2 linked regions of the Arabidopsis thaliana genome follow. The protein of the gene in region 1 interacts with the protein of each later gene in a pairwise test. Each region holds a gene or a part of one and is shown in the gene's direction. Other genes may lie near its edges. The genes, in order: AT4G10470 and AT2G25730.

Evidence for each region.
Region 2: the proteins of AT4G10470 (region 1) and AT2G25730 interact in a two-hybrid assay, tested with the Arabidopsis thaliana proteins (one large-scale study listed by BioGRID).

What each region holds. Positions count from the first base shown.
Region 1 is NC_003075.7:6,474,004-6,478,424, forward strand, and holds AT4G10470 (uncharacterized protein), read left to right. Parts: upstream 1-1,980; 5' UTR 1,981-2,105; coding exon 2,106-2,301; intron 2,302-2,448; coding exon 2,449-3,284; intron 3,285-3,371; coding exon 3,372-3,506; 3' UTR 3,507-3,530; intron 3,531-3,633; 3' UTR 3,634-3,880; downstream 3,881-4,421. Other genes in the region: AT4G10465 (Heavy metal transport/detoxification superfamily protein), read left to right, coding at 641-716, 812-1,134; AT4G10480 (Nascent polypeptide-associated complex (NAC), alpha subunit family protein), read right to left, coding at 4,086-4,421.
Region 2 is NC_003071.7:10,969,713-10,974,543, reverse strand, and holds the start of AT2G25730 (zinc finger FYVE domain protein), read left to right. Parts: upstream 1-1,592; 5' UTR 1,593-1,814; coding exon 1,815-2,641; intron 2,642-2,795; coding exon 2,796-2,940; intron 2,941-3,350; coding exon 3,351-3,629; intron 3,630-3,762; coding exon 3,763-3,930; intron 3,931-4,025; coding exon 4,026-4,235; intron 4,236-4,831.

The sequences.
Region 1 (4,421 bases):
TTTAGAAAACATATTTAATTGAAAGTATAAGAAGATGCATTTTAGACATCTCTCACTTTTCTAAATTTTGCTTAAACACAAGCCGCACTTGATGTAAAACAGTTTTTTTCCGAATAATTTTACATAATATTCAAAAAACAAAAGAATAAGAAGATTAGCAAAACAAACGAAATTCTTTTGATAAACGAATCATTGATGGACTATACCATTAATAGTCAAGCTTTCCAATTAATGACATTTGAAAAGCTGATATTTGCAGAACCGATTGGTTTATATTTTATTTTTTTTGAATTTAGTGTTAAGTTATATTCAAAGAAAAAATAAACGTTTATACATGTGAATGCAAAATTTTCTTAGCATATAGAATAAAGTTTTATATCCTTGGTGTTATATCGATGCGAACCACACTTGGAATCCTTCCACATATTTCTCTACCTTCCCTTTTACACTAGCCATGATTAAATTATCTCGATTTAAATGTCAATTCCTACACAATCATCTAGTTTTCAAAGTGCTAATAATTTACTAATGATCATTTTGATAATAGTATATACCATACTACTTTTTTTATTTATATCCAAAGTTCTCATAAGAAAACTAAAGTTTTTGAGTTTGACATTCGTGGCTCGTGGACTACTAGACGGTTGAGCTGAAGGTAAGAATGTGTTGTACTGGTTGCGTCAGGATCGTTAGGAACGCGATCTCCAAACTCCGAGGTAACAACTAATTGCTTTGCTTTAAAATTTAAAGACAAGATTAGTGTAATGAACGAAAAAAGAGACTAGATGTAATGAATTTGATTAAATTTTAGGAGTTGACTCAGTGGAGGTGGATAAAGAGTTAGGAAGAGTGAGAGTGGTGGGTTATGTTGACAGAAACAAAGTACTCAAAGCCGTGAGGCGAGCGGGGAAGAGAGCTGAGTTTTCGCCATACCCTGAACCTCCACTTTACTTCACATCTACTCAAAACTATTTCGTAGATCCTTCGAAAGAGTTTAAAGAGAGCTATAACTATTATAGACATGGCTACAATGGTACAGAACAACATGGTAATATCCCCGTAGGTTCTCGTGGAGACGACAGGGTTAGTAATATGTTCAATGACGATAACGTTAATGCATGCCGTCTCATGTAAACTACATACGTAATGACTTAAAACTTGTGGAGAAGTAAACTGTAATTATTATCATATTGTACTAGTAATACTATAAAAGAATAAGAGAAGTCCAGTGTTCCCTACTTGTATTAGAAACGTCATTTTATAGTGGTTAAATGTCATATTGCTTATATTTATCTTTAATTCACTTTTGCAAATGTCATTTCATGGTTGTTGTTTTTCAGTTTTTAATATGTTTTTTTTTGTGCAACACTAATATGTTTTTGTTCTATATATCGTTTTCGATGTGTAATGAGTTTGATCTCCATTTAAGTTAATTATTTATTTGTATTTTCTGAATTTTTAGTTCCCTCAAATGTGTTTTGCAATAATATTATGTAAGATATGAAATTTTTGGTCTCTCATGAAACATTTTATGAAGACTTTCAATTTTAATTTTGAGTACAATATCTTTTTAAAGTAAAACGTTTTCGGGTTAGTCTAATTATTGAATCAATTTTCTTGAAAGAAAGTAAGTAAGTCATCAGCTTGATAGAAATTATTTGTATTGACTTAAAGATGTTTAATTAGTTTATTTTTATCATTGGTGACCGATCATTATCTTTATACTATTTTATTCGGTTATAGTAAAAAATAAATAATCACTTCATTATTATTGTAATATTGTTAAACTTAATATTTTAGTTTGAACAAAAAGAAATGATTTTATATTTTTGTTAAATATGGTATAATTAGTTTTACTTTTATAAAACTACATAAGTTACATTAAATAAATTATAATCAATCAAGCAATGGTCGAATCCGGTTGAACCGAAATGTAGTCCGGTTTACTGTCGGAGTTTGGTTTAGAAAACATTGGTAATCACTAATCACAGATAGCACAGTGAAAAGGGTAGGACAAGGTTGATGAAGCTCGTCGTCTCTGCAAAATCCCTTCCCTTCTTTCTTTCTATCCACAAACAAAATTTCGAATCCATAGAGAAGAAAACATGAAGCAATGTGATCGTAGTAGTCTATCTCCTTTTCCTATAAGTTCTTCTTCCTTATCTTCTTCTTTCGTTGCTTCTGAATCTGATCCTGAAGATTCTTTATGGAGTGATTTCACTTTCGATTTCTCATTCTTAACATCCGAAGACCACAAGATTAGTCCCAATGATGATAATGATGCGACCACTGTTCCTAAAGGTTTTTTTTTTTTTTTGTCTTTCTTGAAATGTTATGGTTTTGTTCTTGTTATGTGTTGTGTAAGAGTTTCTTGAATCCCTTAGGAGAGAATTTACTGTAATGTGCTCTTCTATGACACTTGTGAATGATTTATTTGGACTTGTGTAGGGAAAGAATTGAATCCTTTGGCACCTCAGTTTCTACCATTCAATGCTAAGAAGAACCTAAACAAGAATGGGAGAGAAATTGAAGTAAACAGTTCCAACCAAAACACTAGAATAGGCGTCCTGATCCATGATGCAGATGAGAGTTTGGGTTTAGTATCTCAAGATAGTGTTTCCAACACTATGAGTATGTTAGATATTAGCAACGAGTTCCAAAAGTCTAAAAAGCTGGATCCGTTAGCTCCTGTTTTTGTTCCTGCTTGTGCAAAACTAAGTGAGAAGCACGGTGCAGCAGATCACATGTTAACTATGGAGACAAATGTTGGCTCAACTTCTGGTGTAAGTTCTTCAGACAGTATGTTGCTTAATACTTTTAAGGTTGTTGGGACACATTCTTTAGTGGTCGACCGCAGTTTAAGGAATAGATACTCTAATACAAGATTGGATAGGTCCAGCAACAAGTCTCATGGTCGGAAGAAGCTAAATCCTCTGGCTCCTCGGTTCTCACTAGCAGATCATAAACAAAATGTATATGGCTGTGAGGTAAACCAAGCTGCAAATGACTTTGGTGATAGACATGGCTGTTCCACATCATCACCATCTCAAAAAGTGGATGTTAAGAAACTACTTACGACGATTCATGGATTGTCAGAGTTGCTAACACATGTACACAGTTCAGAAACTTCGGATTTACCAAATGAGCAGTATCTTGATCTCATCAACTGTACTGTGCAGAATCTCAACTCCTATATCAATAACAGAGTTCAGGAGCATAGTGGGGATTATGCAAGTGCTGTACATAGTTCATGTGATTTATATTCGTTGCCTAATATGCGTAAGGTATGTTCTCTTGACTACTTTTAAGGATCATCGAAGCATTCTTGTTCGGTTTTAAAGCCTGTAGACCATCGTTATCACAATGTGCAGGTTATAAGAAATCATCATCAAACAGAAGAGCAAATCAACCCAGAGGTGTGTTTTTATAAAAGCTTATGGCTCAAGGCTAAGGCAGAGAGATCGTTGATGGAACATGAAACATTTCTTTCAAAAGCAAGATCTTGAGCAATTAGTGAAGAGTTATATAAGGTGACATCAGATCATCCTAACTTTTTTACTTCATAGCAACAATGTCAAAGATTGATTTCTCTTTCTATGAGGTCCTATTGAGCGTTTGCTTTCGATTTTGCAGGTTAGCGTGTAGAAATTCAAGCGGCTGAATCGAGGCGGTGTTACTAGCTAGAGAAGTTTTGCTAGCAAATGTATGTGTAGGTCGAAAAGAGGGACACTCATGTCAATTCTAGACAAAGACTTGAATCTGTATTTTGTGTTGTAGAAACTTGAAATACTTTATACACAAATCTAGCTTTGTTTCTTGAACCAAATTTGTATTTTGAAGCTACATTTCAATGAATATATGTAAAGAGATTACTCATCAATCTTTCTTGCTAAAGAGTTAACAACACTAGACATAAACGTCTCAAATTATAGATGTGAAGCAACATTGTTTATGGCTCAGAGAAAGGTAAAAAGAAATAGCCTCAAAAAAGTGGAGAAACAGAGATGTTCGAGAAAATTGCTAACCGAATCAGAAATGAAGCAACAAAGACGAACCATCACAAGTCTTTTGCAACTCACTAAAACCTATGTAGTGAGTTCCATAATGGCGGAAACAATATCTCCGTTACTCTCTTTAAGAGCCTTAACAGCCTTGGGCCTCGAGACACCGGCTTGAGTCATCACAAGATCAATGTCCTTGGCTTCAACACCAGTCTCATCAACATCTTCATCGTCTTCCTCCTCTTGTGCAACCGTGGCTGCTTCAGAACCATCAGTGTTGGGGATCATAGACGCAACGTCAGGCATCTTGAACCTCTGAGCAGCTTGTGCTTGTAGCTGAGAGCTCATGTCATCAATCTTAGCCTCACCGAATATCACATAGGTCTCAGAGTTCGGACTCTTGAACACATCCGGCTTCGA
Region 2 (4,831 bases), on another chromosome or scaffold:
AGGTCAATTGATGAATTTATATTAATGATCAAAATGTCATTACAAACAATACGGAAGACTAAACCAACCAAAGAAAAGTTACAACAACAAAGCTAGTAAAAACAGACACAAGGGAAAACATTTTATAAAGAACTATTAGACAAATCTAAGCGAAACAAACCATAAATTAGAAACAGAGAATTAAAAACAAAAGCTAAAAGTTGTTCCAGATTATTATTCCACACCCCTTTCTTAACCTGCAATTACCAAATGTAGGATCCTAAAACTTCTTGACGAAGGTTAATAGAGTGATACTACTTTTTCTTGGGAGATTTCAGAGTATCTTATTTCTTTACATCGTGAACCTTTTGTTTTTTTCTAGCTATCTATGTTATTCATGATGGAATTTGAGCTTTGATGATTCACCAATCATCAAAGTACCGTGGGACTTACCGAAGTGATATCATCTTCAGTACTTGGACTTACATTAGAGCCTATTGATGCACGTCTTCTCCATGAAGATGACTGTGGAAATGAGCCTCCAAAGTTTAGGTTCGTATTGATAACATCACATAATAACGTAAGTAGAAGAATTCGCATAAAAAAAAGTAGAAGAATAAAAAAATTCGCATACTGAAATTCGTAAAATAAAAAATCGCATTATAAATTCAGCAATTATATACTCATTTATTTTGTGTTTTGATGTTTCGGTAAACATTATGCATATTTTCTTAATTGGTAAAACTTTTGCATATTCGCATAATCTATCAACAATGGTTTTTCGATTCAACATCCTCCACATCATCTTCTCTTTCTTCCACATCATTTCCTCTCTCTTCCACATAATAATTCAATACCCACTCAAATTTTATACTCTACAATGGTTTGTTTAATAAAATTCAACACCCTACCCCACAAATTTTTTTTTCATTATTTTTCTTTTCTTTTATGTTTTAAATGGATAATTAATAGAATTTTGGGTGTTAAATGAGTTATTGTTGGGATGTTTTCTTTTATGTTTTATCGGCTAATGGATTTTTTTTAGTGAAAATAGATGTAATTTTTTCTGTGTCCAAATAAAATGAAACAAGTCTCTATTTATAAAGTTTGGAAAATGATGAATTTTAGTATAAAAATAATTTAAAACAAATAAATATTTTATAAGATAATTGATCTCCAATAATTCAGAGGAAAATAAAATATAAGAAATTTCAGTAGCAAATAAAAGAACAACACATGTCCTATCTTTATTTAACTCTCCCCCACAATTTCTGTCTCCAATTATTTAATGACAAGTGGCAATGAAGGATCCATTTTTAAAGATTCAACATTGTTGAATAGATTCAACACTATTTAATCCACATAGGATTCATTTCTTTATTCAATACCCCATTGTAATCATTCAACTATTGAATAAATTTTTTCAATAAGCCATTGTAGATAGTCTAAGAAAACATTATTCCGCCATTATACATGTAAACCTACTGGAACCTTAATTGCTTTTGTTTTTTTTTTTTGTCTAAAATCTTAATTGTTTTTCACACTTTTTTTGTCAGCAAAGACAAAAAATAAAATAAAAAGCAAAACCATTGGTTAACAAGTCAGAACCGAAACGAATTTAATCAATCGGGTTAACCCATTTGCTTCCCTGTCCCAGCCTTAATGGTCTGCTCTGCTCGTCTCAGCTAAGTTGACGATTCCAGACCAAAAATTCTTCACAAAAAATATCTGAAAAATCCAGCCAAGATATTTCAGATTGTACGGAAAATTTCAGAGCAAATAATTTTCAGATTAATCGGTATGTATTAGCTCAGTGATCGGAATTTGTGACGGCGATGGATAAAGAGACGGAGATTCTCTCCCGTCTCGCGGCGAACCACCTTCATCTGGCTCAATTCGAGCCATTGAAGGCTACGTTACTCGCTCTCAGGGTTCGTAACCCTGACCTCGCACTCACCATTCTCCAAACCATCGTCTCCAACGCTGGAAGATTCGATAATGTCCTCTGGTCACGCTCTTGTCCTTCCCCGTCTCTTCTCTCGTTCCTCTCCACGATTGAGCTTCTGAGATTCGAAAATCCTACTTCTCCTTGGGGATTTGATTCAGAAACTCTAAGTTTGCGTGCCGATTTCTTGTTGATGGTTCAGGTTTTGATCGATAGAGTTACAGAGAGGATTAAGGAAGATGAGGAGAGTGAGGATGAAAATTCTGGATTAGGGAATTGTTTAAGGGTGTTGCAAGGTGTTTTGGAGTTAGGTGTTGAGAGGTTGAAGTTTGTTGTTGATACTAGTAGTAGTGAAGGAAGTAATAAGATTGAGGAAGATGCAGTTGTGTCTTTGAGGAGTATAGTATTGGATTACTCTGATGTTTTCGATGCTTTATGTTGTAATATTCAGAGGCAACTTGCGGGTTGCGAGAGTTACGGTACATGTTTGGTTGAGGAAGTTCAGGGAGAAGAACAGAGAAAGGAGATGAATGAGGCCACATGTATTGGTTCTCCGGAGCTGGATAACATCAATGTGTTTGCTTTGATACAGAGGAATGTTCAGTTAGCACAGTTGGATGCTATGAAAACAAAGTTGGATGAAGGTGATGAGCGCGGGGCAGCTGATCGCATTCGTTATCTTCACCTTGATTATGGAGTAGAGAAAGAGAACTATCAGTAAGTGCTTGATTTATATACATTCCGCAAATACATGAGTTTATTCCGTTCTATTTCCTGCTTCAATTTGTCTTCCTGTTCCTTAGCATTTGTTTCTTGCATATTTAAGAATAGAGAACTTACTTCAATTATTCTGTTTTCTTATTTATGATAGTGCTGTTCTAAAAGCTCTCCTTTCAAGAGTTATGGAGAAAAAGGATGAATATGGTGATTCCTGGCACATGGTGCGCCAGAACTTGCTGTTTATGTATAAAGAAGCTCTCTCATCGAATTGTGGAGATCTTGTTCAGATGATCCAGGTTGGTAATTTTTTTATAAAAGCTGATATAATGGATCGTTCTCATTAAAAACAAGGTTTCACATGTAAGATACAACTATTTTTGGTACATATTGCTGAACTGAGAAAAGAACAAGTGGTTTACGGAACCTGCTAATATGTAAATGTAGTATAGCTTATATTTGTTGCGATTAAGAACTTAGAACCGTTTTGTCAATCTTGATTATACTGGAATTTGAAGCTGGTATAGCCAGTTGGCATTTTTCTTCTATATACTTTGTGAATATTTACACTGGTGATAGTTGAGTTCAGTGGTTGGTCTGAGTTGATGGGTTTGCTTATATGTGGATATTGAAATATGTGTATGTGTGGCTTTGAGTAAGTTATCTTGTACTATAAGCTGTTATCTGATTACAACGTTTTCCTCGGCAGGGTATTCAAGATGATATGCTCCTCCCACATAGCCAACTACATTTATCTCTCGACAATGAACAAATTCCACTCCCTCTTGAATGTTTCCGGCGATATCTTGTAGACTTGAAAACTGAGAGAAATATAGAGGACAAAAGTTCTCCTATGAGCAGGGCAATTAATTCTTGTCTCAGAGATATGTATCATTATGCTCGTATTTCTGGATCACATGTTCTTGAGTGTGTGATGTGTGCTGCTTTGTCTTCTGTAAAGAAAGAGAAGCTTCAGGAGGCTAATGATGTAGGTGGAATAGAATAAAGTTACATATCTTCGTACTCATTATCTTACTGCAGTATTGTTGATTGGCTGCTACCCCATTTGACTTCCCTTTTTCTATTGGGATCTGAATCCCTCTTCTGCTCATATGTTTCAGGTTCTTACTTTGTTTCCCCGACTTCGCCCTTTAGTAGCCTCCATGGGTTGGGATCTATTGCCGGGCAAAACTGCAACCCGTAGAAAATTGATGCGGCTACTTTGGACTAGTGACTCGCAAGCACTTCGGCTAGAAGAATCTTCTCTTTATGGAAACCAGACAGATGAAGTAACTTTTTTTTTCCTTCACATAAACTACTATTTGGATCTATTATTTTTAGAAGATGACAGTGAAAGTCTAACAGGACACAATGATCTGGGCAGAAATCTTGTGTGGAACACCTCTGCGATACGTTATGTTATCAGCTGGAACTTGCATCTTTCGCTGCTTGTGTCAATTCTGGTAAATCATGGACTCCAAAGGCATCTTTCTTGATGCATGGTAATGTGTCATCCGCGCATGATGATGCGGAGGTGGATCCTTTTGTTGAAAATCTTGTATTGGAAAGGCTTTCAGCGCAAAGTCCACTTCGGGTAGGACATTCTTAAACATCCTTTCTACATAGACTAATCCCCCACAGGAAAAGTGTTCTGGAAGAATATGTACAAATAAATTTCTCTAAGCTATAATTAAATTTAGTATTGTCAGTGGAAAATTTCATTATATATCATGTTGGCTAGATATATTTGCTTACATTAGGAATGTTGTCTTCCTAGGGAATACGTATAGTTAAATAAGAAGAGGAATAGATAACACGAGGATATTGTAGCATATGTTACTATGGTTTATCAGGAGTACTAATCAACAATAAGAGTACAGTGGGATTTTAAGTCAATTTTGGATAAATATATATATATTTTTTTTGGGTTAAAAGATATCTGTTTCGTTTATCACATTGTTATAGTTAGCAAGTTTCCTTGGATCATATAAAATGAATTTTTGATAGCTTCTGGTATTCTAGGTGTCCTGAGCTCTTGGAGGAATGAAAGAATATACATCTTTTTTCCTGAATAATACAGCACTTTTCATTATGCCATAATAACTTTTAGTACTGTATTTTGAAATAATGAACCTTGTCACTGTGAAGGACACTGACATTGCCATCAATTTCATACTATATAAATCTAAA